Arabidopsis thaliana: one gene and its partners. The protein of the gene in region 1 interacts with the protein of each later gene in a pairwise test. Each region holds a gene or a part of one and is shown in the gene's direction. Other genes may lie near its edges.

The links.
Region 2: the proteins of ARF16 (region 1) and IAA5 interact in binary tests that used the Arabidopsis thaliana proteins (3 or more experiments, as listed by UniProt).
Region 3: the proteins of ARF16 (region 1) and IAA31 interact in binary tests that used the Arabidopsis thaliana proteins (3 or more experiments, as listed by UniProt).
Region 4: the proteins of ARF16 (region 1) and MYB54 interact in binary tests that used the Arabidopsis thaliana proteins (3 or more experiments, as listed by UniProt).

Annotation. Positions count from the first base shown.
Region 1 is NC_003075.7:14,700,992-14,710,214, reverse strand, and holds ARF16 (auxin response factor 16), read left to right. Parts: upstream 1-3,860; 5' UTR 3,861-4,037; intron 4,038-4,630; 5' UTR 4,631-4,650; coding exon 4,651-5,736; intron 5,737-5,811; coding exon 5,812-6,668; intron 6,669-6,776; coding exon 6,777-6,846; 3' UTR 6,847-7,150; downstream 7,151-9,223. Other genes in the region: AT4G30090 (golgin family A protein), read left to right, coding at 68-130, 205-369, 441-596, 680-748, 840-901, 996-1,080. UniProt on the Arabidopsis thaliana protein: Auxin response factors (ARFs) are transcriptional factors that bind specifically to the DNA sequence 5'-TGTCTC-3' found in the auxin-responsive promoter elements (AuxREs). Could act as transcriptional activator or repressor.
Region 2 is NC_003070.9:5,363,719-5,370,281, reverse strand, and holds IAA5 (indole-3-acetic acid inducible 5), read left to right. Parts: upstream 1-3,784; 5' UTR 3,785-3,821; coding exon 3,822-4,167; intron 4,168-4,284; coding exon 4,285-4,369; intron 4,370-4,457; coding exon 4,458-4,518; 3' UTR 4,519-4,770; downstream 4,771-6,563. Other genes in the region: AT1G15600 (uncharacterized protein), read right to left, coding at 521-698, 802-930, 1,004-1,359; AT1G15590 (E3 ubiquitin-protein ligase), read right to left, coding at 2,050-2,077, 2,319-2,444, 2,523-2,908; CYCA2;3 (CYCLIN A2;3), read right to left, coding at 5,064-5,117, 5,213-5,347, 5,442-5,591, 5,687-5,797, 5,870-5,945, 6,030-6,163, 6,252-6,344, 6,442-6,563. UniProt on the Arabidopsis thaliana protein: Aux/IAA proteins are short-lived transcriptional factors that function as repressors of early auxin response genes at low auxin concentrations.
Region 3 is NC_003074.8:6,017,269-6,024,417, reverse strand, and holds IAA31 (indole-3-acetic acid inducible 31), read left to right. Parts: upstream 1-3,270; 5' UTR 3,271-3,377; coding exon 3,378-3,502; intron 3,503-3,599; coding exon 3,600-3,811; intron 3,812-3,909; coding exon 3,910-3,994; intron 3,995-4,082; coding exon 4,083-4,137; 3' UTR 4,138-4,445; downstream 4,446-7,149. Other genes in the region: HYH (HY5-homolog), read right to left, coding at 1-31, 124-310, 384-447; BSH (transcription regulatory protein SNF5, putative (BSH)), read left to right, coding at 4,827-4,876, 4,972-5,066, 5,176-5,270, 5,611-5,682, 5,795-5,842, 5,925-6,008, 6,112-6,150, 6,276-6,358 and 2 more. UniProt on the Arabidopsis thaliana protein: Aux/IAA proteins are short-lived transcriptional factors that function as repressors of early auxin response genes at low auxin concentrations.
Region 4 is NC_003070.9:27,596,615-27,603,945, forward strand, and holds MYB54 (myb domain protein 54), read left to right. Parts: upstream 1-4,978; 5' UTR 4,979-5,237; coding exon 5,238-5,358; intron 5,359-5,469; coding exon 5,470-5,901; coding exon of another isoform or gene 5,902-5,960; exon of another isoform or gene 5,961-6,245; coding exon 6,246-6,424; 3' UTR 6,425-6,703; downstream 6,704-7,331. Other genes in the region: AT1G73400 (Pentatricopeptide repeat (PPR) superfamily protein), read left to right, coding at 1,492-3,198. UniProt on the Arabidopsis thaliana protein: Transcription factor that regulates secondary cell wall (SCW) biosynthesis, especially in interfascicular and xylary fibers.

The DNA of each region.
Region 1 (9,223 bases):
CTTCAATTCACAATTTACCCTGAAAGTCTTCAATTTCTTCTTTAAAGACAAATCCTTTCTTCAACAGGTGTCGATGAAAATTGAGCAAGTCCAGAAATGGTCAGAGCCTCACATTGAAACACTGAACTCAGTGAGTTTTGTTCTAACTGCACACTTGTTTACTTTTCCATTTTCTTGATACTGATATCTGATCTTTATTTTCAGCAATGGATTCCAAGCATCAAAGATGCATGTGTCACAATAACCATATATCTCGAACCAAAAGTTCAATATATAACCGATAAGTCCATCGAGTTGTTATATACATCTAAGCAGGCTTTGACACCACATCTCATCCAAGGATTTGACGCTTCATACTACTATCTTGAGGTTAATATATTTCCATCTGCTTCTCTTCAACATTGCATAAAACATTGTGATCATTGTTTTGTTTATATTAGGTGATCAGAACACATACACATCCGTACACGACCCGGATTATGACCTTAACGAAGCCACACTTGGAGAGAGTACAAGTTGCCTTAGAGCCATATACTGAAAACGTAAGACATGGCTTTCAGAAGTTGGTTAACTCAACCAAAATCTACCATCAACAGGTATATTCATCATATTGTGTCCTTGTTTTTACGAAGTCAACTTAGAGTAACACTTTCATAAGCTTCACTCTGTTGAAACCAAGGCTCAAGAAATGCTGAAGAACAATGAGATCACCAAACCGGTTGCTACCATGGACTTAGCTTGGGTTGGGGTATGTGATTTCAACAACATCTGGTCATTCTATCCATCTATAGAGTCTACAAATCCGAACTCACTCACTTCTTCTATTAAATTTTCAACAGGCCACAGCTTTAATTGGATTCCCTCTTATATTCATCATCAAATTGCTTTCTGCAGTCTCCAAGTAAGCTTTGAACATCATTCAACAATAGTCTAAACTTTACTTATAAGTTTCAATCTGTTGCATCAGAAAGTACTTACAGAATTGCATCTAACAGTCCTAAGGGGAAGAAGAGACACAACCATAAAAAAGAACCAACCACCGGGTACCGCAGAGCCAAACGCCGACATCCTCACCAATGATACAATAGGACTATAACTTGAAGAGATCAAAAAGGTTTTTGTGACTTCACTTAATCGATATATATATCATTCGTTTTGGTTCCTATTAAAAGATGGTTACTTAAATGGAGGAAATATCTTTTGCAGGTGGTTTGTATATACCTTTCTGGTTTCTGAGACTTATAATAGTTAAATATCTATTGGCTGAAGAAGTTGAAGCAGAGGTGTTCTACAAAACTATAGGTCTCTCTTGACTCTCTGTAGTGACAAAATCTTAGAACAATCTTTTTCAGTTTTCATAGTTTATGGTTTTTTATAAAGTAGAGAAGAGAAGAAAAGAAAAGAGTTGTAAATCTTCTCACATTGATACAGATGTGATTGGGAAATTTTAGTTTGCCATGTTAATGTAACCAGGCCCAGCCCAATTGTGTTGGGTACAAGTTGAAACTAAAAAGCCTTAATATTTCAGATTTTTTTTTTCGGACAAACATACAACTTCAGATTAAAATATCTTTATCTATATTTTAAAAGAGGAAAAAAAAACTATTTTGTGAAGACAAAATGGGAGAAAGAAAAGGACAAGAGAGAGTCAATGTCTATAACGACTGTTTGTGTCTGATCCCAATTTCATGTCTTTATATGTCTTCTCCTTTATAGGTCGCTTTTCATTTACGCTCTTTCTTGTTTTTAGCTTTCATTTCTCTTTTTAGCTTTTATTTTATCATTCTGTTTTTTTTCTTTTGTCCAAACTATTTTTCAAATTTTTTATCAAATCCATTATATGTGAATAAAATAAAAACCATAAACCCAAATAATTGAATGGAACAAACAAACTAAAATGTATAAATTGAAAAATAAAACAAGCAAGAAATATTGGCGAGCATTTCCATTTCCGTCATGTCTCGTTGCTGTCTATAAATAATTTTTTCTTTTTAAGAAATTTGTTTCGTCCAGTTCTCGCAAAATCCCAAATTGTGGTTTGCCAACCCCTAAAAATATAACATGATTATTAGTAGATTGAGTTCACATGCCCAAGTTTTTCCAAAAGTTAGCCCAAATCTAAATTACATTATTAACGACACTTGTGGTCATGAGGAACATCGATAAACATAGAAGGTGTAACCACTAAGGAGTATTACATGCAAATGTGGTAACCAAAATCTGAAGGAATAATAAGAGGACAATTAGATCAGATCCGGTGGTTTAAGATTCAAATACCGAATTTGCCCTTGTGACATGTAAATTATTACTGGATTAACATAAATGGAGACACACGTAATAACTATTGACAAGGAAAGTATGTGGTATTGACCAAACAACACACATACACAGACACACTTCAAACTTAACCATGGTTACTCACACGTGATATGTCCTCCGGTTAAATATGTTTTCATTATCATTGTTAATTATTATTTTCTTATTATCACATTCCCATATATTAAAAGATTTTAGTGTTATCTAAAATAATTTCAGATTATAATTTCAGTTTCATAATTCCAATCTTGAAAATTTTGGTTCTTATACTTGTGTATATAATTGGATATTGGATTTTTGTTTACGTATGGCCTAGATCAAACTCTTGGTATTATTAATTGGAAAGCTAACTCTTACGACAAAAAAATACAATGACACATGCGGAAATTTATTGAGCCTTGCTACGATCATGTAGGATTGACATATGTATGTCGTATCTCTATCTTATTTGGATATATAGGGTATAGTCATATCAGAGAAATTTTCTAAAATGTTTTCTTAGGATCCTTAAATTATATTTTAAAAGGATTATCTAAGTCTCCTGATTTCCTATGAATTGGTTCGCAACCTACGAAAAAACTATGGGATCAAAAGCAAAAAATTCTAAGTTTTTTTTTCAACTTTGGTAAATTTTAACATAAATAGTTAGATGTTTATCTCCCTTCATTCCTTTTTGAAACCAATAATTTTAATCTTCCTTTCACTTACCATTTAGAAAAACACACGAAACTATGTTTTTTGTTTTTAAAAATATGTGTACCTCATATATATGCTGCATGTACAGCCTTTATACGTCTATATGCAGTTGTGTATTTCATATAATTATACTATACAAATAGAACATAAAATAGAACTATAGTTATTTACAACACAATATATATATATATATACAGCTGTATAATGTATTTTAGAATACTAGTCTGGGCCAATCAAACGGGAATATAAAAACCCGAGGTAGAATTTTATTTTTACATCGTTTAAACACAAAGAAAGATGGTTAGCAACAGCAAATTGCTTACATGGTTATCAACAAAATATCGTGTTTCGTAAACAATAAGTTAAAAATAATTCAATGAACTATTGGGATTATCAAATCAAACTGTAAAAATTAGTTTATTCAAAGAACAATTAATGGCTGAGTTAATTAGCTTGCCTTGAATTGTTAAATAATTAGATGCTTCTAATCAGATTTCAAGGAGATATGTCGGAAGCACCGACGACACGTGCGGATCCGTCACGTGCGCGATTCAACTCTTTAACTCGTATGTCGATATTTCTTTTTTTAATTCTCTTCTTTTTTCACACTCCATATTGTCGATTTTTATGCCCGGAATCAAGGGTTTGACTTACCAAATTGTTACCTTCTTTTAGGCTTAAAATTTATTACACTTAAAATAATCCGGATTAATATTTTCTAAAAAATTCACTAACTAGAGAAGAAATAATAATAAAAAAGACATGTGAAAGAGTTAATGAAAGTTGAGAAAAAAGAGATAATATTATTTTTATTTTATTTTTAGTTTTGTTTTTCTGCAGAAGAGCCAAAGCTCTTTCCTTCATATATACGAACCCCTTTTTCCATTTTCTTTGTGCAAAAAGTGTAACCTTCCTTATCCGATTCTGAAGCAGAAATTAGCTGCAGAATCTTCAGATTCTCTCTATACCTAGATTGGTTTTTCACAGAATCTTCGCTATTTTGTTCAGATCTGCCACTGTTTCAGGTTTGAACTAATTTTACATAAATTTTCTCTCCTAATCTTTCTCTGTTTCATCTTTGGTTTTCTCAATCGATTCGATATGAATTTGATTTGGTTTAGCTTGATTCGATTTGATCATCATGTCTAACTAGTTCTATCTAACTTTGTTAGTTTACTGTTCTTTTGTGTGGTTCTTGTTCTTACTTCAGACCGATCTATGTTTTTTTTGCTTTGTCTGCTTCACACAACACAATCGTGAGCTTGCTCTTATGAAAATCTAATCTAACTAAATTTTCTTAATTTGTGGTCTTTTTAATTTCATAATGGATTAATAAACTAAATATCCTCAAAACGTTCTTGAAGTTTTATAATTTGTATTTTTTGTTTTCTCCGGAGATTTGGTATTTGAAATCTTCTTACTATCTGAAATGACCCTTTTTGTCGGTTTTTCTTGAATCTTTTTATTTATTTTTATTTTCCGGGAAAATTTCGTTTGTTAGGTAAAGTTGACTGATACAAAGGACTTGAGTTGCTAAATAAAAAGCATTTGTATTGTGCTTTTGTTTGGTTACTCTGTTCTCAAACAAAAGCTGATACATTTGTATTTGTTGTTGCAGCAAAAACGGTCACAAAAAATATGATAAATGTGATGAATCCAATGAAAGGTGGAACAGAGAAAGGTTTAGATCCTCAGCTATGGCATGCATGTGCTGGTGGTATGGTTCGTATGCCTCCTATGAACTCTAAAGTCTTTTACTTTCCTCAAGGTCACGCCGAAAACGCTTACGATTGTGTCGATTTCGGTAATCTCCCTATTCCTCCCATGGTTTTGTGTCGTGTTTTAGCCATTAAGTATATGGCTGATGCTGAATCTGACGAGGTTTTCGCTAAACTGAGATTGATTCCTTTGAAAGATGATGAGTATGTTGATCACGAGTATGGTGATGGTGAAGATAGTAACGGTTTCGAGAGTAATAGTGAGAAAACGCCTTCGTTTGCTAAGACTTTGACTCAGTCTGATGCTAATAACGGTGGGGGTTTCTCTGTTCCTCGTTATTGCGCTGAGACGATTTTCCCGAGGTTGGATTATAACGCCGAGCCGCCGGTTCAGACCATTCTTGCTAAGGATGTTCATGGTGATGTTTGGAAGTTCAGACATATTTATAGAGGGACGCCTCGGCGTCACCTTCTTACAACCGGATGGAGTAATTTTGTAAACCAGAAGAAGCTTGTGGCGGGAGATTCGATTGTCTTCATGAGAGCGGAGAATGGAGATCTTTGTGTAGGTATTAGGAGGGCTAAGAGAGGAGGGATAGGTAATGGACCCGAATATTCAGCGGGTTGGAATCCGATCGGTGGAAGTTGCGGCTACTCTTCTCTGTTAAGGGAAGATGAAAGCAATAGTTTGAGGAGAAGTAATTGTTCCCTTGCGGATAGGAAGGGGAAAGTGACGGCTGAATCTGTTATAGAAGCAGCCACTCTTGCTATTAGCGGAAGACCGTTTGAGGTTGTGTACTATCCGAGAGCTAGCACTTCAGAGTTTTGTGTCAAGGCATTAGATGCTCGAGCTGCCATGCGGATTCCGTGGTGCTCAGGTATGAGGTTTAAGATGGCTTTTGAGACAGAGGATTCGTCTCGGATAAGTTGGTTTATGGGGACTGTTTCAGCTGTTAATGTCTCTGATCCTATCCGTTGGCCTAACTCTCCTTGGCGGCTTCTACAGGTAAACAAACACTCAAAATTTTCTTCTAGCTCAAGTTAGAATATAGACTCATAGGTTGCATTTTTGTGTTTTCAGGTGGCGTGGGATGAGCCAGATTTACTCCAAAACGTGAAGCGAGTTAACCCGTGGTTGGTGGAATTGGTATCAAACGTACATCCGATCCCGCTTACTTCGTTTTCGCCACCGAGGAAAAAGATGCGGCTACCTCAGCATCCAGATTACAACAATCTGATCAATTCGATTCCAGTACCTTCATTCCCAAGCAATCCCCTTATTAGATCAAGCCCGTTAAGCTCTGTTCTGGACAATGTTCCCGTGGGTTTACAGGGAGCCAGGCATAATGCTCATCAGTACTACGGGTTATCATCTTCGGATCTTCACCATTACTACTTGAATAGACCACCTCCTCCTCCTCCTCCATCCTCTCTCCAACTTTCTCCTTCTCTCGGTCTCCGAAACATCGATACCAAAAACGAAAAAGGATTTTGCTTTTTGACAATGGGAACAACACCATGCAATGATACCAAATCTAAAAAGTCCCATATTGTATTGTTCGGCAAGCTTATACTACCCGAGGAACAGCTATCAGAAAAAGGCTCAACGGATACCGCAAACATAGAGAAAACGCAGATTTCATCAGGCGGGTCGAACCAAAACGGCGTTGCGGGAAGGGAGTTTTCTTCGTCAGATGAAGGATCACCTTGCTCTAAGAAAGTTCATGATGCATCAGGTTTGGAAACAGGGCATTGTAAAGTGTTTATGGAGTCAGACGATGTAGGTCGAACCTTAGACCTATCGGTTCTTGGTTCATACGAAGAATTGAGTCGGAAACTCTCTGACATGTTTGGAATCAAAAAGTCTGAGATGTTAAGCTCTGTTCTCTATAGGGATGCATCAGGAGCCATCAAATACGCAGGAAACGAACCTTTCAGGTACATTTTTTTATTATAGACAAGATTGTCATATTTTTCGTACTATTTTGATGATGAAGTAAAAGAAAACATCTAATAGTTGTTGGTGTTTTGACTCATCTTTGGCAGTGAGTTCTTGAAGACAGCTCGAAGATTGACAATTCTGACGGAACAAGGAAGTGAGAGCGTTGTAGTATAACTTGGCAGAGTGTTTTGTTGGAGCTTGGAAGTCAAAACTCAACGATTGAATCTTTTAAGTTTTTTTTTTCTTTTATTTGTTTATTTTAGTTCCACTTTTTTGGATTATGTAAGTTTCAAAATGCAATTCACAATCTATTTGCAAATAAAATAGGTTCTTCTTCCCTTGAAAAGCTTCATTGATCAAATAGGGTATAAGAACCAAAGTCTAGACGGCAAATTATGATATGTTTGTCAAAGTCACTTCAATTTGTCTACAAATTAGTGATGACACGCATAAACCAATAGGCCTCAAACATGGTTGCATTGCTTACTTTGATTCATTATGTAATATATAAAGTGATTTTTCTTTAAATATTTCATTATTTGTTTCTTGGGATCAATAAGTTGTTGAGAGGTATGAAAAGTAATAAAAATCTGGAAGACAATTAGTTAGGGTGATGCGAGGGTCATGTCTCTAGGCACATGCACAACAAACAACGGTCGGATCCTATGTTTGACAAAACACAAAGTCCTCAACACCTAAGTTAAGTTGGATCTCCCACTTTTCATTTATAACTCAAAACTATATATATATTTAAAAGATTTTCAGATTCCAATGTATACACAACGAAAATTCCATATCATCTTCAACCTACTAATTATAAATGTACAACGAAAGTACTCTATATTCGCTTCTCGGTTCTCAAAGTCAATGAAGTTCTAAACTCACTTTTTCTCTGCTTATTTAATGTAAAAAGACCAAAAGTTCTAGCCCTTTTTACTTTCTAGTCTTTAATCTTATATAAAACCATACTCACTTTTTCTGTTCCAACCTAATGTCCTATAATGTTCCAATCTCAAGTCTTAATCATGATAGATTTGTAAAAATGTTTTTGTAAAATGACTTGTCCACTCTCAGACCTAATCTGACGACGCTTCTAGACATCAATACAAAAATGAATATGACTTGAGAGTGATGGACATCATGAAATGTGTAAATAGACGAAAGGGAGATATTTTAAATCCAGTTACATGTCATGATTAGAGTTAATATAAATTGAACCAAAACTCAATTATTGTAGCTTAAGAGAGAGTATGAACATTGTATACAAAAATAGATACACACATAAATTAATTGCATATCTGAATAAATCAAAAGTTTAGGAGTTTACATTAATCAAAAGTGATTGTGACAACTCTACGTATGAAGTTGACTCTTGAACCACACATGTTCAGAATTCACAATCCCAACAAGATCATAAGAGAAAACAAACAGCAAAATGAGAGATACATGGGGTAGTCTTGATTTGGATTAATCATTTAATTAATCAAAGTAGTCAAGTTAATCAACTGGCGATCATAATATATATGTTAATTATTAGGACAAAATACTTAGGGTTTTGCAACAAAACTATTGTTAACCATGGTTGAGTACTTGAGTTAAGACGATATCGACAGAAACAAGTGTGACAAAAGTCAAAGAGGAGAAGCGACAGAGTAGCGAACGTTGTGGCACTTTGAATACTATTTTTTATGTAAAATAAACAAATAATTTTTCTTAAATAATAGATTTAAAAAGTAAAAAAAAGAGGACAAGAGAATTAAAAAGAGGCACGAGGTAGACAAAGATTCGTGAGGCAAGGAAATGCCAACTCGAAGGCCTTTCTTTACGTGAAGAAACATCAATGCATGTGTCCTCTTCATATTCACAATTACACTTAAATCTGTCATTGTCTTTCCTTTCACGTTCTTTTTCCACGTGTCCATACTTTCATTTTTTTTTTACACAATCGAGCTCTCTCTTTTTTTTTCTATACCCAAAATATAATACCAATCTCGAGATTTACAACCACCGCGTGAATAAATTTCATAGTGCTAAATTTACGCAAGTACAATAGAAAAACATTTTGTGTTCTTTGACTAAAACATGACAGCAGATTCGATCGGTGAATGTTTTAGTAAACAATCGGAACAAGTGTTGATCGAGTATTCTCAAGATATTTAATATAGTTGGCTACATAATTTGGAATTATGCAAAACTATTATCTAATTTCAAAATTGGGTTTTAATACGAAACGGATCGAACATATGAAGCCCATAAAGTTTTATCTAACTCGAACATAAATAGCCCAGTAAGATATTTGTGCCTTGGAAATGTGGAATGCCACTAGAGATCCAGAATATTTTGGGGCATTAGTACATTATATATAGACCAACTTAATGTTCCAATGAAATATTAGTTAGAAGTTTGAATTCTAATGTTCTAAACCTTGAGGGAGGTGTATTGGACCTAGTAATTTGGAGGATTTTGATTTTTTTTCTTAAATAATCTGTTATTCAAATAAGAATTTTCAAGCTGTAAAACAAAACAAAAATGTCTTTCAAAATCTTATGTT
Region 2 (6,563 bases), on another chromosome or scaffold:
ATTTTATTATTTGGGAAACTATAATATTTTATTATTTTTCTTAGTTATCTTATCTTTGGTGTTAAAGTTATCTATATATCCATTTCGATTTACCCAAATCTGTCAAAATAATAAGGCCTATAAAAGGTTATTCTGAAACACGTGATTATTTGGGTAAATGTCACAATGAGGTAGGACTCGACTCGAAATAAGTCAGATTTTAAAAAGCCCATTAAAGTACGGGCCCTTAAAATACATATCTGAATAGCGAAAACGCACGAATAAGAATGGTCAGTCAAAACTGTCATTTAATGGAGAATAATATTAACGAGGGAGAAAAATAAAATAAAAAGAGGAAATAAGACGAGATGATCATATTTGATCATTTCAAAAAACCTTAGCTACTGTTTTTCTCTACCTTAATAAGATTAAAATCATCAACATGAACACAAAACATTTTTATTCTGGTACTCTGCTTTACTTTGATTTTAAACGCCCATTCTCCTAGGCTTACAAACAAAATATTTTTATTAGTTCGATTTCAGCAGATGCATGATACAATGCATGCTACAATGCCTTTTAAGACTTCCACAGCAAGGAGAACACATATGACCACAGGCGTAAGTAAAAGCAAAGGAGTAGTATAACAGACCATTGCCAATGTTAGATTAAAAAGAACATATCTAATGCAACTGAAAGTAAGGAGAGCCAAACATAACCTGCAAAAGAGACAATGAAGAAGGCCAAAGGCATGAGTATAAGAAAGGTCAATATATACGTTTTAAGGTATACATATGATTGGAAATTTCGTTTGATACGCACCAGAAGTATTGAGTTGTAGTATCATCTAGAGCTGATGAGTCGAATGCTTTGGAAGAAAGAATCCATAAAAACACCACATACCAACCCACGAAGAAACCCGTCATAAAAAAGTCCATATCCTTGTTGATTCTGCAAACCAATAAAACCATTATATCTCAATCTAATGCATAAAAAGATAAAAGAAAACACAATTTATATATACCTTGTCTCTCTTAAGTATTCATCTGTAGATTCGGAGCCAACGCTTCGGTTATAAAGCCAAAAACGCCAACATAGGATAGGGAGAGTGGCAATACAGCCACATGTATAACCGATGATCCATATAGACAACATTGTTTGTGGATGTTCTTCATCTCTTGGCTCAATCAGAACGATTATGACCGCAGCAATCAAGACCAAAGTCACAACAAACTCGATTGAATTACAAATGCTTTCATTTGTGTATGGATCACCCAATTCAACACCCTCGTGTGGTTGCTGACCATCAATTGATGAAGAACTACCATCGCTTGTAATGTCAATGATGTGTTCACACTCGCTCAACAAAGGGCCCTCCATTGATCACTTTTGGTTTTTCCTATTTCTTGCCGATCAAATGAAAAGTTCATTCAAATTTGCGTTGACGAGCACAAAGCATATACCTTTCCTTCTTTGTTGATAAAATTATTAGTATTTTTTTAGACCAGATCAATACTAAGTACGTATTAGTCGTGTTACAAATAAAACATTATTTTGAAAAATGAAGATCAAAGCTGAGATTTCAATGTTTATATATATTGCAGATGTTTTGGACAAGTTAAATTGTTAATAGGTCAAATGATCTGTATGATATTTATTTTCTGTTTTAAGACAGACAACACAAGAAGACAGGATCGTATCTTTCAGTTTCCCACCACTTTTGTTTATTGAATGTGTACAATTACTCTTGAGCGAAAAAAAAATAAAAAAAAAATCAACCTCATCTCATCACCACCTAACTTGTGATTGACAGAGAGGGCATGTGGATTTGATTTTCAGCCATTTGTCTATACATTGCGAATGAAATACGTGTGAGCATTCAAGTTTCCTTAGTCCTACTCCTTTTTCCTCTCCATATTTCCCCAAGCATATGCAACAACTCTGCACACACCATCAAACCATGAAAATTAAACAACAACAACAACAAAAAAATGCTATTTAAAACAGAGTAATTAATGTGATATGAAATTATTACTCACATCATCATGGCTCGGTTTCTTGAAAACAAATCTACCTCCTATACCTTCCCTTACAGAATCTACATCATTTGATTTCAACTTATCCACATCATAGATATGAGAAAAAAATGTTCCAAACTCTAGTGAACATTAAGCGAAAAAAATACCTGCGCATAATAGTAATGCATATGCAAATCTAATGCAACTGAAAGCAATGAAGACTACACATAACCTGCCAAAACATAATCAAGAAGACAAAAGTTAGTACTGATTAGTTAGGGTTTAACTAAATCTCTACTGTGACATGATTGTGAGTCAAACCTGTAGAGCTTAGGAGTATCAGAAGAAGATGAGTGTCCATAACAAATCCATAGAATCCCCATAACTAACCACACAACAAAGAAACATTCATTCCCCATCTTCAAAGCATCCATTACCCTATCCGTTCTGCCACCAACAACGGTTCGGTTTGATTTAGCTAATTAAACTCTTAATGTTAAGTGAAACAAGTGTTGTTTATTATACCTCGTTTTTGAGTAAACACCAATTCGGTTGTATTTGCGGACACACGAGAGGAGAATAAGGAGCGTAATGGTAATACAGCCACAAGTGTAACCGATGACCCATGTTAACAAAAGTGCTTGTTGATGTTCATCTTTTGCCAGAGTTAAAACTATTAATGATGCAACAATCTGAACCAAAGTGACTACTAATTCCATTATATTCCAAAGACTACCACAGTCTCTCGTAGATGAACTTGCACCTTCATCTGACGATTCGTCATCCGTAGACAGAGACGAACTTAATGAAGGATAGCTTCTCTCGTCCAAAGACGATCTTGATGAAGAATCTTCATCGTTTGTAATGTCGATTATGTGATCATCATTATCACTGTGGGATTCGCTGTCCATTATCACAAAGTCTTGTTGTGTTATTCATTGGCTAAAGCCAGCCGACAATATATTATACGCAATTCTACATGATCAATCGAAAACTAGAAATTGTGTACAAGGAAATTTGACTAATCTAGCTTATCTATCAACATGTGAACATTCCAAAAATGTACTATTGGAGATACAAAGATATGGAAATATCTATGAAAAATGGAAATATATCCCGTAATTGATATTTTGATCAGTTCTGTTTCTATTTCGTAACAAATAATGACAAAAGTATGGTGTACATGTGTAGATTACGTATGATGTAATGAAAGTATCGGGCACATGTGTGAATAGCAGAAACAAGATATATGACGAAAACGTAGATGCATTTTTTTCTTTGAAATTATGTATGCACTGTGTAGTGTGTTACGTGTAGAAAAAAATGAAATAATATAATAACTTGTCTTAGCCTTGAGTAACACGTGTTCGGTTGTCGAGAAACATAAATATACGTAGATTTTAAAGTGCACTAATATATATTCGACCATGAATATGTTGTTTTATTATTATGTCGTTGATTAAAAGAATGGGATACAGACATAACAAATCACACATAACATGGGATGTCTAATAGAAAGTAACGTGTTTCTGATCCAACGGCTGAGAAAGAAACCCTACTTTGTCGGTAACAAAATCGTGGCCGTCCAGTGTGTCGAACCAACGGATCCATATTATCGACATTTAAACACGAAGCGGCAAAGGAATGAAAAAACATGACATAAAAATTTCGACAAGATCTTCGAATGGGGCCGACAAGATAAATCAATGCTAAACAAGCTTGTCTCAAACGCCATCGTTTATGTTCCCATGAGAACATATAAAGTGGCAACAGAATAAAGTTCAAACACATTAACACCAATACTTTCAATCAAAAACATCAAAGATGGCGAATGAGAGTAATAATCTTGGACTCGAAATCACCGAACTACGGCTAGGTCTTCCCGGAGATATCGTCGTCTCCGGTGAGTCCATCTCCGGGAAGAAGAGGGCTTCTCCGGAAGTAGAGATTGATTTGAAATGTGAACCGGCGAAAAAGAGTCAAGTTGTGGGTTGGCCACCGGTTTGTTCGTACCGGAGAAAGAACAGTCTCGAACGGACCAAAAGTTCGTACGTGAAAGTGAGTGTAGATGGAGCTGCATTTTTAAGGAAGATTGATTTGGAAATGTACAAATGTTACCAAGATCTTGCTTCCGCTCTGCAAATTCTGTTCGGATGCTATATCAATTTTGGTTAGTTTATGTTTCTATATATAGTATATATTTTTGGTTTTAGTCTTTACTTATCAAGGCAACTAATGATCCAAAACATCGATATTAACTTTATAATCTTTATATATGAAAATGAAGATGATACGTTGAAGGAAAGTGAATGTGTACCAATATATGAAGACAAAGATGGAGATTGGATGCTTGCTGGAGATGTTCCTTGGGAGTAAGTTTCTAGCGACCTCTATAACATTCAAATTTACTTTCTTTTATTTAATTGATATCTAATAAATTATGAAACTATTTGTGTGCAGAATGTTCCTTGGATCGTGCAAGAGGTTAAGGATTATGAAGAGATCATGTAACAGAGGATGAATGATATTTATAGTCACATGTGAATGTGAGTGAGCCTTACAGATATCTAAATATACATTTTTGCAGTTACTCAATATTTCTCTTCGGAAGTCTAAGATTTCCGAAATTTCTGTAGAAGTTGTTTTCTTTGACATAGTTCATTCATCTTTATCTTTTGGTCACTGGACTAAAGTCTAGAGGCGGTTCTTATAAGCTACTGCATGACAGTTCAATATCAACAATCAATGAAATTTGAAATATAAATACTTAAACCTACTTCATATCAGAAAACTGATATGAAAATTCCGAATCTGTTTACATTGCCTCAAGATGGGAGAAAAATGTACATTCTCGTTACAATAAAAAAAACTCTAGGTACCGATTAGATGTTCCCGGGTTTGGAAGAACCAAACCACGGATCAAACTAGGCTAAACCGAATTCTAATCAGGTATTAGATGAGTGGGACTGTGGAAATTCTGTTTTATGAACAAAGAGTAACAGATGAATGAAAACGAAATTGGACCATCAATGTGACAAAACTATTATCGGTTAGGAGTTGAAACCTTCAGAATAGCGTGTCAAGTAGCTTTGGAGACGTGAGAACCGCCACAGATTTGTACTGCAAATCCATAATAAGTCTTATGAGAATCAAGGAAACCAAACTAAAGTTATACCAAACAGGTTTTAGTATGTGGTTTTAACTGATAAGCTTACTTTCTCTTGCCTATACTTCATGCGTATAGCGCTCAAGGGGCAACCTTTGGTGTTAAGCTGCAGATCTTGTAAGGCATGAACAGATGCTTTCAGATCCGATGCTTTGTACGTTGTGTAATGCTCAAGTGTTGGATTCTGCCGGGGGAAAAATCAAAAAGATGTTAAAGATCAAAGATTTTGTGGAGCTAAACTGTGTCTGGATATACAAAAGAGAAGCAACATCACAGACCCATGGGTGGTTTGATTGGTCCATTGTCCACTTGGCGAGAAAAACCGCTGAAGCAGCAACAACGGAAGGAAGAAACTTTAAGAAATGGTAGTCTATTAATGTCAACTCTGTTAGATAGCTGGCTAGAAACTCGACTTCAAGGCTTGGGCTCTGCCGAATCAGCAATCAAATATGGACACATTCTCAGTCTTTCTACTAAACTTTGTAATTAGAAGAGATAGGGGAGCAAATTGCGAAATGCATACCAGGCGAGAGGCTTGAGCTGCTCTGAGAAATCTCCTAAGGAACGTTTTTGGAGTGGGAGTGTATATTTGAAAGCTAAAATGCTTAAGTACTTGGTTCTCCATTTCCAGGACCTGCACATCACGACTCCATTAGCACATTGCACACTTTCTTTTTTGAGGATTCAGACAGCAATCTCGGTATACCTGATCTCTTGTGTAGGTGTTATCCGTAATGAAGCAAAACTCCTCAATGCGTGGAGCAGAGATTTCCTCATACTTCCTGAAAAGTTTATAAACAAATGCAGTATAAGTTTAGTTTAGCTTTTGAGAAGAGATTTACTAGTGAGATTGGAGAGGAACATACGAGGCAATTAGCATGCAAGTGATGCCGAGCAGTTGAAGTTGCTGTCTTTGCACGTAGTTTCCATGGAGGAACCAGTCTATGAGATACACTGTGAGGTAGAGAGTGTCAGATGCAAGTGTGTATTCTTCAGAGACCTGTGATTGAAATCAGACTTTTGTGAGAACCCGGAAAAGGTCATAGTAGCTTCAAAAGTTAGCATCAAAAGTAGAACTAAACACTAACCTCCACAAGCCAATCAACCAGAATTCCCCGCATGGACTGGGTGACATCCTTCTGTATTCTCTCCATAAAGTCCGGAAGTGGTCTGCGTTTAAGCTGCCAGAAGAGAAGTGACACAGAAGCACAAGCAATAAAACTTTCAGTCCTTTGGCTCACCAAGTTTCTTTAGAGACTATCAAAGCCTAGGAATTACCTCTGAAACACGCAAATTGTAGTGGATTTCAGGGGCATAGAGGCAGCACAGTAAAGGATCCTTGTCATCTGAATCGATGTCTACAAATTTTGGGATATCCGGTACAGTTGAACTACCAATAA
Region 3 (7,149 bases), on another chromosome or scaffold:
TTGTTGCGCTGATACTCTGTTCCTCAATAATCTGTAATTTTTCACCACAGTTTCTTTTTTACCATTTCAATTCCACAAATCGAATGCTAAGAAAAAAAAGTTTTTTTACTCATCATTGATTACCTCTTGAGGCTTCTATATTCTTTATCAACAGGGTTTCTTCCACGGCGGCGTTTAGCTGTAGAGACTCCATTTTGAGTCTGGTCAAGCTCCGGATTGTTGACTCCATCGTCGGCGCTGCTGCTTAGAACACATGTTGATCCAGCTGCTTCCATGTCAGGAACCATCAACAACTCCTCATCACTTTCCTCTGAGAATTATACAAACCAATTTCTCTAAACCAAATTAAGTTAAATATTAGATAAGTTTCTTTCAACACCTACCAGTTTTGTGCTTCTTGTGGGAAGAAGACGAACTCGAGTTCCCATTGGGTCGTTGGAGAGACATCAATATCTTTTTGTCTTTTGAGATTTTGCTAAAGACGAGAATAGAGAGGTAAGAGGTTGAAGAGAATATCAAACCAAAGGAAATTGCATCTTTTCTTTCTTCTTTGGGGCCACTCAAAGTCTGCAACTCGTTTCAAACAAAAAAAAAGAGAAAAGTATTGGTTGGCTTATAAAAGAACACGTAGGTTTATGTAAGACCACAAATGCAACTGTTTCAATCCAATGGTGTGTATCTGTGTTTTCTTTTCCACTATATCCCGTTGAACTTATTAATTGATTTATTGTTCTGTTTTGCTTTTAAAGTCTTTGTTCATGATTTCTACGGAAAACAACCTTTAGTGAGTATTCACAGAGCGTGTGGGTTTAGGACAATAATTACTGTCTAGAACCATACAAACGTACTTGCAGACAAAGTCAGAGGCACAACTATGTGTGTGTGTATCTATTTGCATGGCGTAATAGGCATGCATAAACTCATCATGTGGTCATATATCTCGTTTTCTATTTTTTGGTACACAAATAACTCTTTTGTATAAAGACAGCTAACTAATGTTTTGAATTTTTAAATGTTATCTCTTAAAATTAAATTCTACCAATTGTAAATTCAGTCAATCATTCCGAAGCATTTTTTCATGCTTTGTGATTCCGCCATATATTTTCCCATGTTCTTTTTTACGTTTTTCATCATAATTTTAAAGTTTTACGATTTTTTGTTGTTATCAATGAAAATGGACCAAGTAAACTTCTACCGTAATGGTTGCATATTAGATAGTGGACTTATGCGCGCGCGCGGAAACAAAACTTGGCCGGTTGAATCGTCGTCTGCCTGGCATCTAACAGTTTTTTCGAACATTGTCATAATCAATATATTGAGGGATGTTAATCATGAAGTCGTATGGAATGGACGCGGGAAATCACTCATAAACAATGTGAACATTTTATAAGGTTATAAAGAAGAACAAGTTTCATCCTTCTTTTGTATATTTCGACTCATACATATCTTTCTATTCAGGAATAAGTATAAAACATAATATAACATGTGGCATATCGACCGACCAATACATCTTTCCCAACCCATGATCAACCTTCTGATTGTGTTTTAATTTATTCGTCATGAAATGGATCAGAATACTCATGATGAGTTTGTGTATCACTCAAGGGACCCCTTGTCTTAAAATCAACTAAAATCATTTGATGTAACTTTTATACGAAGTACTATCCAAATAATTAATTTTCATAAGCAGCGGACATTCATTTTGTTTGTATGACTATATGATTTTATTATTTGAAGCTGTATGCAAACGTGGAGATATGATTGCATCTTTGTCTATGCATGAACATGCCACGTTAATTTAGGAGTACATATCATGATATTGATCTCTCTTGCTATAACTTTTTGGCACAATACTATTGCATGCCTCTCTATATTACTTCAACAAAACGTTTAAATTTACCATGGTTAGAACTTAGAAGTAATCGAGCTGCAAACCATGGTGATCATATTTTTTCTCGTTCGCATGCTCGGTCTTAATATATTGAGAGTTATGGCCAAAATTTGAATACCATTTTAAGAAACTTCAGAAAATCAGGAGTTTGATTATTATCTTTGGTTCTTACTTACTTCAACGAAAACTAATGACAAAACTCTTTTAAGTCGAGGTATGCGAGTAATAACTCCTTGGACATATTTTTTTGATAAAAGTTTAATTGATTATAGACTTATAGTAGTCTTAATTATTATTATAAGTATAAAGAGGAGTAAACATTCATCATTAGACTACTAGACATTATAAAGTTATATATATCGAAATTCTAACAAGAAGGATCCCTAGAGACCAGACATGCATGTCCAAAGACAGATCGTATAATAGCTAATAGGAGTCTTATCGATCCAACATCCAAGGTAGGCTTTATTACAAAGTAACTATTAGAGTGCACTTCCCATGATGATTCTAGAATCTAATATTATTATCAATACAGCCAATGAGCATTATGTGATGTAACAATTTATGTCTACTTTATATTTTGAAGTTATCATAAATCAACGAATTCTATTTTGATTTTCAAAAAAGAGTAAAAGATTTGGGCTTCTAAGAGAGACAATCCACAAAGCTAAAGAGACATTAACAGGAAACGTATAGTTAAAGAAAAGAACACTGTCTGCTCCACAAAAACAATATACACAAAACTCTTCAAGTCTACCTTATTTTTATTGGTTCTGCAATTTTCAATGGTCTGTTACATTAATGTGTCATAAGAGACAATTGAGTTTTCTTATCAACAGAAGGGTCTAAAAAATTGATCCCCCAAGTTCATAGTCTATAGACTCAGTTTTTTTCTTTCAAATATTGATGTGTAAGAAAGTGAAAGTGATGTGATGCTCTGTTTCTGTTTACGGCTAGACAATAAAGCCTTTTTTGGCCCTTATCTCTCCTAATTAAAGAATCTGAGCAGTTGAGAAATTAAAATCAAAGCCTTAACAGATTAACTCCAACATCATTTAGACACACTTTCCTTGGATACCACCTTTTTACGGAAACTTCGAATCTTACATGTAAACAAATCTCAAAACCATAATTTCACATTTTTACTACTAACTAACTCCAAAGATCTAAACCCATGAATTAAGTATCTAATCGGGTAATTATTACAGTGGTTTTCAGAAATCAATGTGTGTTCATATTTAGAAGGTTGAAAGTTCATAGTTAAATGTGGGGAACCTTATGTTCCTATTATTTATTTATATTAAATTTCAAAGTCGATTAAATCAATTTTTAAATTCAAAATCTATGCAATAGAATCACCTACTAGTCCTTTTTTGTTTAACTAGACAGAGAGAAATAGAAATAGAGAGAGAGAGACATGAAGAGCACTCTCAATAGAGAAGAGAAGGAAGCATGAAGCTAGCTCTGCAGCTTCAAGGTCTCATTAATGGAGGTCTCTAACTCTTGTTCTTCATTTTCTTCATCCTCTGTCGACAGTACTAAACCTTCTCCTTCTGAATCTTCTGTTAATCTCTCCCTTAGTCTCACATTTCCTTCTACTTCTCCACAAAGGTCTTATTCACATCACTTCTCTGTTTTTTCCTATGTTCTGTTTTTGCTCTGTTTTCTTTTGTTCACATTTGTGTTTTAAATCTTTATTTTTTTGTAGAGAAGCAAGACAAGATTGGCCACCGATAAAGTCTAGATTAAGAGATACACTAAAGGGTCGTCGTCTTCTTCGTCGTGGTGATGACACTTCTCTCTTTGTTAAGGTTTATATGGAAGGTGTTCCCATTGGAAGAAAACTCGACCTTTGCGTATTCTCAGGCTACGAGAGTCTATTAGAAAATCTCTCTCACATGTTCGATACTTCAATCATCTGTAAGTAATTAATGAACAACACATAATTCCGTAAAAACAACATTCAACTAAATTCAAACAGTTTGAAGTATATCCATGCATTGTCTTGGCTATAACAGGCGGTAATCGAGATCGAAAACATCATGTTTTGACATATGAAGACAAGGATGGAGATTGGATGATGGTCGGAGATATTCCATGGGAGTATGAATCTTATATCTTGATCTTACATTGGTATAATTTCCTCGGTTATAGCTATTCTCTAATTTTTGAAATCGATGTTTTTGTTTAGTATGTTTCTTGAAACCGTGAGAAGACTAAAGATCACGAGACCGGAGAGGTATTAAAACTTGGATCGGTCAAGGCTGTGATTGCGCAGTTACGAGACGTGTAAGATTTAGGCATTGATGAAGAGACTTGAGGCGGGACGGAGCTATTGCTGCATATTGCAACAAAGGCCTTGAAGAAGTTGGAGAATTGATTGATGCATATATTTATTTATATGACACCTTTGAGTGTGTTTTTTCTTATAAATAAATCACAATATCCAAGACTTCTCTTTTTTGTTCTGAATAATAATAATGCAAAGATTTTTTATATGTTTGTAATCGTGTGTTTCTTCGAATGTGTTACATGACTAGGAAAAAAGTACACGAACGTTGTTATGGGGAGCACGAACATGGAATAGAGGAACGTTGTCAGGAAGAGAATGATTCTCTTTGATCTGCCGGCAGCCGTCTCGTTGGTTGTCACCAATGTACAATTTTAATGTTGAGCCCATTTAAAGCCCACTAAATGACTAACAAGCTCGTTTAAAGCCCAAATGCTGCAATTGATCGTAGGATCGGATCCAGATAATTCGTCCCAAAATGGGAAAATTCCAAATTAGAGGTGAAATGTGTAAAGACATTAGAATATAAGGGTGATTCTGAAATAAATTAAGCTAGCGCCGGAAAAAGATCGAGAAATTGAAATTTCCCACACTCTCTCGCTGACTCTCTTCGAAACTCAATTTGTGAAATTTGGGGGTTTAAGGATGAAGGGTTTAGTGTCTACTGGTTGGAAAGGTCCCGTCAAGTTCAGGATGTAAGTTTCGTCGCTTCCTCTACTTTGTTTGTTTTGAAATCGAAATCGAGTTCATGTGTTTTTGTTTTTTCTGATGAATCGATTTGTAATCGGAGCTATAGGCCCACTGCTGAAAACTTGGTACCTATTCGATTGGACATTCAATTCGAAGGTCAGCGTTACAAAGATGCTTTCACTTGGAACCCTTCAGGTTTCTCTCTTAAAAACCCTACCTTTTTTTTTGTTTTCCATCTTCTCGCATCTTATTACAGTAGCAGTGTATGTGATTCACTGATTCTTGTTTTTGGTTTTGGATACAGACCCGGATAATGAAGTCGTTATCTTTGCCAAAAGAACTGTTAAAGACTTGAAACTTCCCTATGCATTTGTCACTCAGATTGCCCAATCTATTCAGGTTGTTTCTAAACTAGTTCACACTGACCTATCTTTAGTTTTTCTTCTGCTCTGATTTTGTTGTTAGTTCTTTTGCTTGTCATAGAGATGAGCTTAAATTTAAGGTCACCTATTAGTCTTAAACCAATCACACTTTCGACTTATTGTTTTTAACTCTTTAGGTTTTTTTACTCGAGAAGAGGCCTGTTTATAGCATTGTACTTTGGGATGTATATCTGTAAGACTGTGCTTTTGTGATGAATGTACTCTTGCTTCAGTTATGTTCTGTTCTGTTTTTGTAAGTATTGGAATAATTTCTTCAGAAATCTCTACTTACATTGGTCAACTTCCTGCTTTATCAGTCTCAGCTCTCAGACTTTCGGGCTTATGAAGGACAAGACATGTACACTGGTGAAAAAATCATACCAATTAAGGTTTTATGACGCTAGATATCCTTATCCCTCTCTCTTTTGTCCATGAGTGATTTGTTGGAAAAAAAGAAGTTCTAGAAGCTGATAAGCTATCTTTCTTTCTTTTTTGTGCCAGCTTGATCTCCGAGTTAACCATACTCTCATCAAGGATCAGTTCTTATGGGTGAGAATACTTGGTGATTTTGAACAATTTCAACTATTGTTTGTACTCTTTTTCTCAGTGCAGCTTGATTGCCGTTTTGCAGGACCTAAACAATTTTGAGAGTGATCCTGAGGAATTTGCAAGAACCTTGTGCAAGGATTTAGGTGTTGAAGACCCTGAAGTTGGAGTAAGATAACCACTCAATTTTTTACATTTCATTATCTGAACTAATGAACCTAAGTTTCAAACGTTTGATACAAGTGATTTTTGGTTTCTCCTTCTCTCTGAAGCCTGCTGTTGCCTTTGCAATAAGGGAACAACTTTACGAGGTTAAAACTTTGATTGTAACTTTAAGCTACTCTCTCTGTATTTCTGTATACTCTATATATGTTTTCTATTTTGAACAAGAATGCCAAACTTACTGAGTTACCATGTCGTTGTTTTTGCTTGCCAGATTGCAATTCAAAGTGTGGCTTCAGCTAGGGAGAGTAGATTAAGCAAGAAAGGCCGCAGAGGATCTGATCATGGTTCAGCGAGGTATGTTCACGTTGCCCCTATTTGTCTATCCAAGTTACCTTGTGGTAATATTAGAGCCTAGCTCAAAAAATTCTAAAATAACTTTCCATCTTATATGTGCAGCAAGGCAAGTGGCCTGTCAATGGACTTAATGAAGTTATTCAGTTTTAAGTCCAGTGTAGTTCGGTAAGTGATTTTCTTACCCACTTAATGCATACATTTTCTCTGTTGCATTGTCTTCTTAAGATCTGTTGGACGACTGACTTCTAGCAGCTAGATCGTTTATAAGATAAGTTAACTTTGCGACACATCCTGAGCGTTTTTCTTACACATACTCTTGAATGCCACCTCTTCATGCATTATATCATTTGATAGTAGATTATCCCAATATTTGGAGCTGGTCCCTACTGAGATTGTTCTAATAGTAATTTCTGGTGATGTTACATGTTGTTATTGAACATAGAAAACCGAATCACTAGGTTGGAAATTGTTTGATTACAAAATAAACTCTGTGGAAATTGAAGAAGTTCTCTTCCTGCATTGCTTATCACTAAATGGGAGTTTTTCAAAAAATAAGATTTATGGACACGAACAAATTTGACTTGCAAGACCAAGCAAAAGCTATAACAGAATCCAAAAATAACAAATTTTGTCCATGATCTTGACAGGAAAAGGAAAGACTTGGATGTTTATGAACCAGTTGTGGATCTGCTAACAAGTGAGGAAGTTGATGCGCTTGAAGCCAGGGAAGAGAGACATGCAAGGTGAAGAGTTTCGTTTACATGTATAAATATTTCTTAGGGCAACACTCA
Region 4 (7,331 bases), on another chromosome or scaffold:
TGCTTTTATTCTCTCCTTTTAATAGTTAGGAAGAAATCCATTATATCTGCCATGTTAATTGCAGTCGTAAGTAAATTTCAAACTTAATCATGGTCATTGTTTTTATTTGGTTGTCCAATATCGATCCTATGTATATCCAACTATATATTAAGATATCATGTGATAAAAAAATAAAAATAAAAATTGTAGGAACGGTACTTTAATTTGGGAACAAGAACAAAGAAATTGTGATATTTCTTTACATTTTGAATTCTCTAAGTTAAGTTTTAAGTTTTCTAATTTATTGGTTTGGATTCTTTTTCTATGTTCTGATTTTATTATTATGATTCTCCTTAATTCGCTCGGAGATTGAAGAGTGAATGTGCATACAATCTACTTAAAAACCAATCCCCCAATTGTATCCCTCCTTTTAATTTGGTTTCTGAAAAAAATTGTGAAAAAATAATGAGAAATGCATTAAAACCAAAACCATAGAAAATGCAATGATTCACAACGAGAGTCTCAAAAGTCATAACTACGCTAACGGCCACTTGTCACTTGACCAATAATTTGAAACGAAAAAAGAAAAACCATAACTTGTTGCTATATGCCAAAAGTAGTATTGCTTCTTCTCTGCTACTTGCAAATTAATTACATCGTTATATACATACCATTGATTAGACTATTAAATTTTTACAATCGGCAAAATCTAGAGTATCTAATAATGTTTTGTGTATAGAATCTGTAAATATTTGTTTAGTATAATGTAACAGGATAATTCTCATTCGATATAAAAAACTACATATATATTAGTTGTTTTAGGCCATCTCCATCAGTATTTCTGAATGAGAAACTTAATAATAAAATAAGAACAAAAAAGTGAAAAAGTAGGATAGAGAGGGAGAAGAGTACCTCACTTGAGAAACTAAGAGAATCGTTTTTCTGACAGAATCGCCACATGTCAATCAAATATTAGTTTAACTATTACAATTTAAATAAAATATATTATATAATTAAAATAATATTTTTTTTTTTTTTTGAGAAACTAGGAAGAGAATCTTCCCGATGCAGATGCTCTTATGTAAAGAGATGTATATGTATATTATTTATTTGTGGCTCTATGATAAACTAGGAGTAGAAATTTTGATTTATGGCTTGGTTTGGTTTTAAATTGATATTTTTTTGGTTTTCTCTTTTTTTTTTTTTTATAGAATTTGATATTTGATATCTAGAGTCTAGACCTTGATGTAAAAGAAATTGGAAATTTGATTCCCTTTTGTTTAAGACTTGAAGTAGTGTGTAATTCAAACCAAACAAAATAGTTTTCGTTGTTAAATGAAGAAAGCCCATTAAAAATGAAAAGGCCTCAACAAAAGAAAAGCCCATTTAAAATCTTCCAATTTCTCTCTCTCTCTCTCTCTCTTCTCTATGTCGTCCCCTTCCTCTAGTTCCTCTCAGTCTCCTTCGCTTTAAACCTCTCAACGAATTTATTTCCGAGTGATTGATTACTGAATGATGCGAAGACTCGTCTCTTACTTTGTTCGTTCTAGATTCTCCTTGCATCTATCCACAACACCACCTCAAAGGTCCGCACTTTTCTCTCATATATTGAGTTCTCATCTAGATTCTATTCAAATCAACAAAAAAATCTCATCTTTCTCTGTGCATCGATTCTGTTCCACGACTTTGTTAAACCCAGAACTAGAAATTACCCGTATAGAGAAAGTTTCCGAAGATCAATCATTGGTTTATTGCAATGAAAATGATATTAGAACAAAGGGTTCTAATCATGCGGTTGGAATCTTACACGAAGCTATAATGGCGAATTTGAATGCGTATGATGATATGGAAAAAGCCCTTGATGAATCTAGTGTAGATTTAACAACTCCTGTGGTGTGTAAGATCTTACAAAGGCTTCAATACGAAGAAAAGACGGCTTTTCGGTTCTTCACTTGGGCTGGACATCAAGAACATTACTCACATGAGCCTATTGCTTATAATGAGATGATTGATATATTGTCAAGTACTAAGTATAAGAATAAGCAGTTTAGGATTGTGATTGATATGCTTGATTACATGAAGAGAAACAACAAAACCGTTGTTCTTGTTGATGTTCTATTGGAGATTCTCAGGAAGTATTGTGAGAGGTACTTGACTCATGTTCAGAAATTTGCCAAGAGGAAACGGATTAGAGTGAAGACGCAGCCTGAGATTAATGCTTTCAATATGCTTCTTGATGCTCTGTGTAAGTGTGGTTTGGTTAAGGAGGGTGAAGCTTTGCTTAGAAGGATGAGGCATAGAGTTAAACCTGATGCGAATACGTTTAATGTCTTGTTCTTTGGGTGGTGTAGGGTGAGAGACCCTAAAAAGGCAATGAAGCTGCTTGAAGAGATGATTGAAGCTGGACATAAGCCGGAAAATTTCACTTATTGTGCTGCTATTGATACTTTCTGTCAAGCTGGAATGGTGGATGAGGCAGCTGATTTGTTTGACTTTATGATAACCAAAGGCTCTGCTGTTTCTGCTCCAACCGCAAAGACTTTTGCTTTAATGATTGTGGCGTTGGCAAAGAATGATAAGGCAGAAGAATGCTTTGAGCTAATTGGGCGTATGATAAGCACGGGTTGCCTTCCTGATGTCTCGACATATAAGGATGTAATTGAAGGTATGTGTATGGCTGAAAAGGTAGATGAAGCGTACAAGTTCCTGGATGAGATGAGTAATAAAGGTTACCCGCCTGATATAGTCACATACAATTGCTTTCTTAGGGTATTGTGTGAGAATAGAAAGACCGATGAAGCACTTAAACTTTATGGAAGAATGGTAGAGTCGCGTTGTGCTCCTAGCGTCCAAACATACAACATGCTGATATCTATGTTTTTCGAAATGGATGATCCTGATGGAGCATTCAATACATGGACTGAAATGGATAAAAGAGACTGTGTTCAGGACGTTGAAACATACTGTGCTATGATCAATGGGCTTTTCGACTGTCACAGAGCTAAAGAGGCGTGTTTTCTACTGGAAGAGGTTGTGAACAAAGGACTCAAACTGCCATATCGAGTGTTTGACTCTTTCTTGATGCGTCTATCGGAAGTTGGTAACCTCAAGGCAATTCATAAGGTTTCTGAACATATGAAAAAGTTTTACAACCATAGTATGGCTAGGCGTTTTGCACTCAGTGAGAAGAGAAAGAGTACAAAACTCAGAGGGAAGTAATGTGAACTGAAAACTGTTGGACCATATCATCATACTAAAACAAAGAACCATTTTCAGTGGTGCGATGATTCTGTTGCCTAGAGAGGAGCTCTTCGTGACTATGATCCCTGGTGAAATTTCATCCATCACAGTCTCTCTAATTCTGGACCAATAAGCATGGTTTCGAAAGCAAAGATACCTATCCAGGTCTATTGTCTAATGGTTATGTTGGTTTCTTTGAAAAGGCTCTCACAGCTCACAATATGTTTAACGTGTTCGTTTAAAGTCATTGTATTGACCATTGCATACATAGAGATAGAGCCGAACTTTGTATGATCCTTAGCAATGTGAGAGGCTTGTTTTCCTTATGGTTCATGACTATTATGGTTTATCTTCTGCTCTTGCTCTCTGATTCTCGAGTTTGATGTGAGATTCTTGAAACATTATGATGCTAGAACAGTGTCGGTTCATCGTTCAGTTCTGGTAACAGGTTCAAGTCTCAGGAACTCTTGCTGAAGAAGTCTAAAGACATGACACAGTTGGTCTGTCAGCCTTTGGTGATGAAGTACCCATACAGTTGTAAAATAAAAAGCCCACTGGTATATAATATTTGACCGGTTTAGTGTAATCAGGATCCGGTTTAGTTGAAATAGGTCATTTTGCGACGAAAATAGGTTAAGTTTAGTTATGATAGGTTCGAAAGTCGAAACTGAAGAAGGCTTCTCTCCTAACTACCGATAGAACAAATGAAGTTGATTATTGGCTTTCTTTCCCAACTAACTCTCTGTTTTATTTTATTTTCCTACTAAACTTTACCAGCAATTATTTTGGTTTTTGCTTACAGATTTTTTTTTTTTGAAGAAATGTTCTAATTAGTCCCACGGAACATTCAATGTAACTGATTCTGTTTTTAGTCCTGAATGTCCGAAACCTATAAAGTTCCGTTTTGGACAAGAGAGACGTGCTTGGAGACCAAATATTTGACCACCTTTTTTATTTGTTTACGACTAAAATGATTGACCACATGAGAATAAAATTTTTGCTAATATATTTCATCACTTGATTCAATTGTATACACCTTCTATTTTATTTACAGTTTATAAGAAAATACCCATTGTAAAATTGCAAAGAAAAAGTTAGTTGTATTGTCTCCACTTTGGACGATATATTCCTAATTAAGGCTTAGAAAAAACGTTGATTAGGTCTGAAAATATTTATCTTTAATTATTATGGACGATATTTGATACATGAAATAAATTTTTGTCAGTGTAGGATATCGATATTTATTATATGTGAATACGTAGCTTGCCAAGATTACAGAAACGTAGATGAGTATTGGTGGCTTGAAGTAGCGGGTGTAGGTTAGAACTTAGAAACAACAAACCTTAAATTAATACTATACGAAGAGACGTTGAGAGGCTAACGAAATCCTGCCCACACCAAGCAATCTCTAGTCTATGCTCTTATTTTCTACGATATTATATATTCTATAATTATTATAACTAAATAAAATCCTAGTTGTAAAATAAAGGAAAGAAAAAGGTAGATTACGTAGAAGGGGGTGTTTTGTTGGTTAGGGAAGACGTTGGCATCAGTCGCCGGTAGAGAGGTCCGTCCAAACCCTCCCGACTCTCTAACGGATTTTGTTTTATTTTATTTTAATTTTCATCATATAAAATGTATATATATATATATATATATATATTTTCTTTTGGTAAAGACATAAAATGTATATTAGACGAAAAAAAAGAAGAAGACATAAAATGTATATTATATATATACTCGCAATAATATAGACTATGTATATATATACGTGCAGGTGCTCTTCAGCTTTCTTCTTGTTCCCACATACCCATCTTCCCCAACCTTTTCCCAAGAAAAAAAAAACTTAGGGTTTTAATTTCTTATATATGTACATAAAATACATGAACACAACAAATTTTTTGCGTGCGTTATTGATATAGAATCTGTGTGTTTTTCTTTTTCTTTGTTCTTGTATTGGTTTGGATCGGTATACTTAGTTAATTACGTAATTAAATAGATCGGCGTGAAGAAGAAAAATGATCATGTGCAGCCGAGGCCATTGGAGACCAGCTGAAGACGAGAAGCTCAAGGATCTTGTCGAACAATACGGTCCTCACAATTGGAACGCCATTGCTCTCAAGCTTCCTGGTCGCTCTGGTAATTGATATCTTCTAGGGTTTGTCCATATATACAAAACTAGCTAGGGTTAATTTTGATACTTTGATATATATATACATATGAATTAATTGTATTGGTGTATATATGCAGGTAAGAGTTGTAGATTGAGATGGTTTAATCAATTGGATCCAAGGATCAACCGAAACCCTTTCACGGAAGAAGAAGAAGAAAGACTTTTAGCGGCTCATCGGATCCATGGGAACAGATGGTCCATCATCGCAAGGCTTTTCCCTGGAAGAACTGATAACGCCGTCAAGAACCATTGGCACGTCATCATGGCTCGTCGCACACGCCAAACCTCTAAGCCTCGTCTTCTTCCCTCGACGACTTCGTCTTCTTCTTTAATGGCGAGTGAACAAATCATGATGAGTTCTGGTGGTTATAATCATAATTATAGTTCCGATGATCGGAAGAAAATATTTCCAGCAGACTTTATAAATTTCCCTTACAAATTCTCTCATATCAATCATCTTCACTTCCTAAAGGAGTTTTTCACCGGAAAGATCGCTTTAAATCACAAAGGTAAACTCAAAATGATGGAGAAGGATCCATTTTCTATAGATGTGTTTGCATGTATATGAGTCTTGCACGGATTATTGATGAAAAAGGTATATATGTTCCAAAATTTTGAAATGAAGTTTAGCCGAATTTTTTTACTTTTCAAAGAGTTTAGCCGACTTTTTCATTTGCATAATCATTTTTCTAATGAACTTCAAAATTATGTGACAAAATTAGTTGCATGTTTTTTCTTGTACTCATCATCATATATTGTTTCCGTCATTACATGAAGTCATCTCTATATATTTAACATAGTTGCAATCCACATAGCTTATAATTTCGTCCTTCTTTTATCGTTTGGATCGCAGCAAATCAGAGTAAAAAGCCTATGGAGTTCTACAATTTTCTACAAGTAAACACAGATTCAAACAAGAGCGAGATTATAGATCAAGATTCAGGTCAAAGCAAACGCAGTGACTCGGACACCAAACATGAAAGTCATGTTCCATTCTTCGACTTTTTATCCGTTGGAAACTCTGCCTCCTAGGATTAGTTTTTTTGCAGTAACTCCTAAATTTCTAGATTAACTATTTAGTCCGTATACGTACGAGATTATCTAGGTCGTTAGCATGTATGCTTGATGTGTATAATCACTAACTAGTGAGCTATTACCTGCGAAAATTGTAAGAAAAATACATAATGTTGATGTATCACACATTCTCAATGTCTGTAAAATTTCCATCGAGTTGTTAACTATCAAAGTTATCCGTTTGAATGTATTTGTTTAATTTGTCTTGAATGAGATGAATAACATGTTTAAATGTTTAATTCTGTTACCAACAATTTAATTATATATATATAACGATTAATTGCTAGTTTGTTTCTTATTAAATTTGTATCATATTTATTCAACGTTCAAACAAATCACCGTTCAATTGTTTATGCATAACCCGATCATGAACTCGACCTCGAGAGGCCACAATATTATCAAAATTTGAAAGTATATATGTACAGTTGAAATCTTATATCGTTGAGATTATAACATGAAAAAAATCCAATGTTTGATGAAGAAGCAAAAGGTGTTGGAAAACTCTTTTTACTTCTTACTTTCCTTAATCGTTTTCTTACAACAACACAACCATTATGTAGTTCTTGTACTTAATCTAATTAGAAATTTGTTAATAACCAAGACCCACCCTTAATTGGGCCTTGTTCACCTCTGGGCCCAATGGCCTTTTTCTCTCTTTTCCTTCACTCTTCTTCTTCTTCTTCTTCTTCTTCTTCTTCTTCTTCTTCTTCTTCTTCCTCGTGCATACCTTGCTGTAGTTCCCTCTTTTCCTTCACTTGCTCCCTCATAGTTCGAACCCGTGCATACCTTTTAATTTCTGTTGAATTTCTCATTGTCTTTGGTATGGTCCTAATCTCAATACGTCTCTGTTTCTCATCCATCTCTC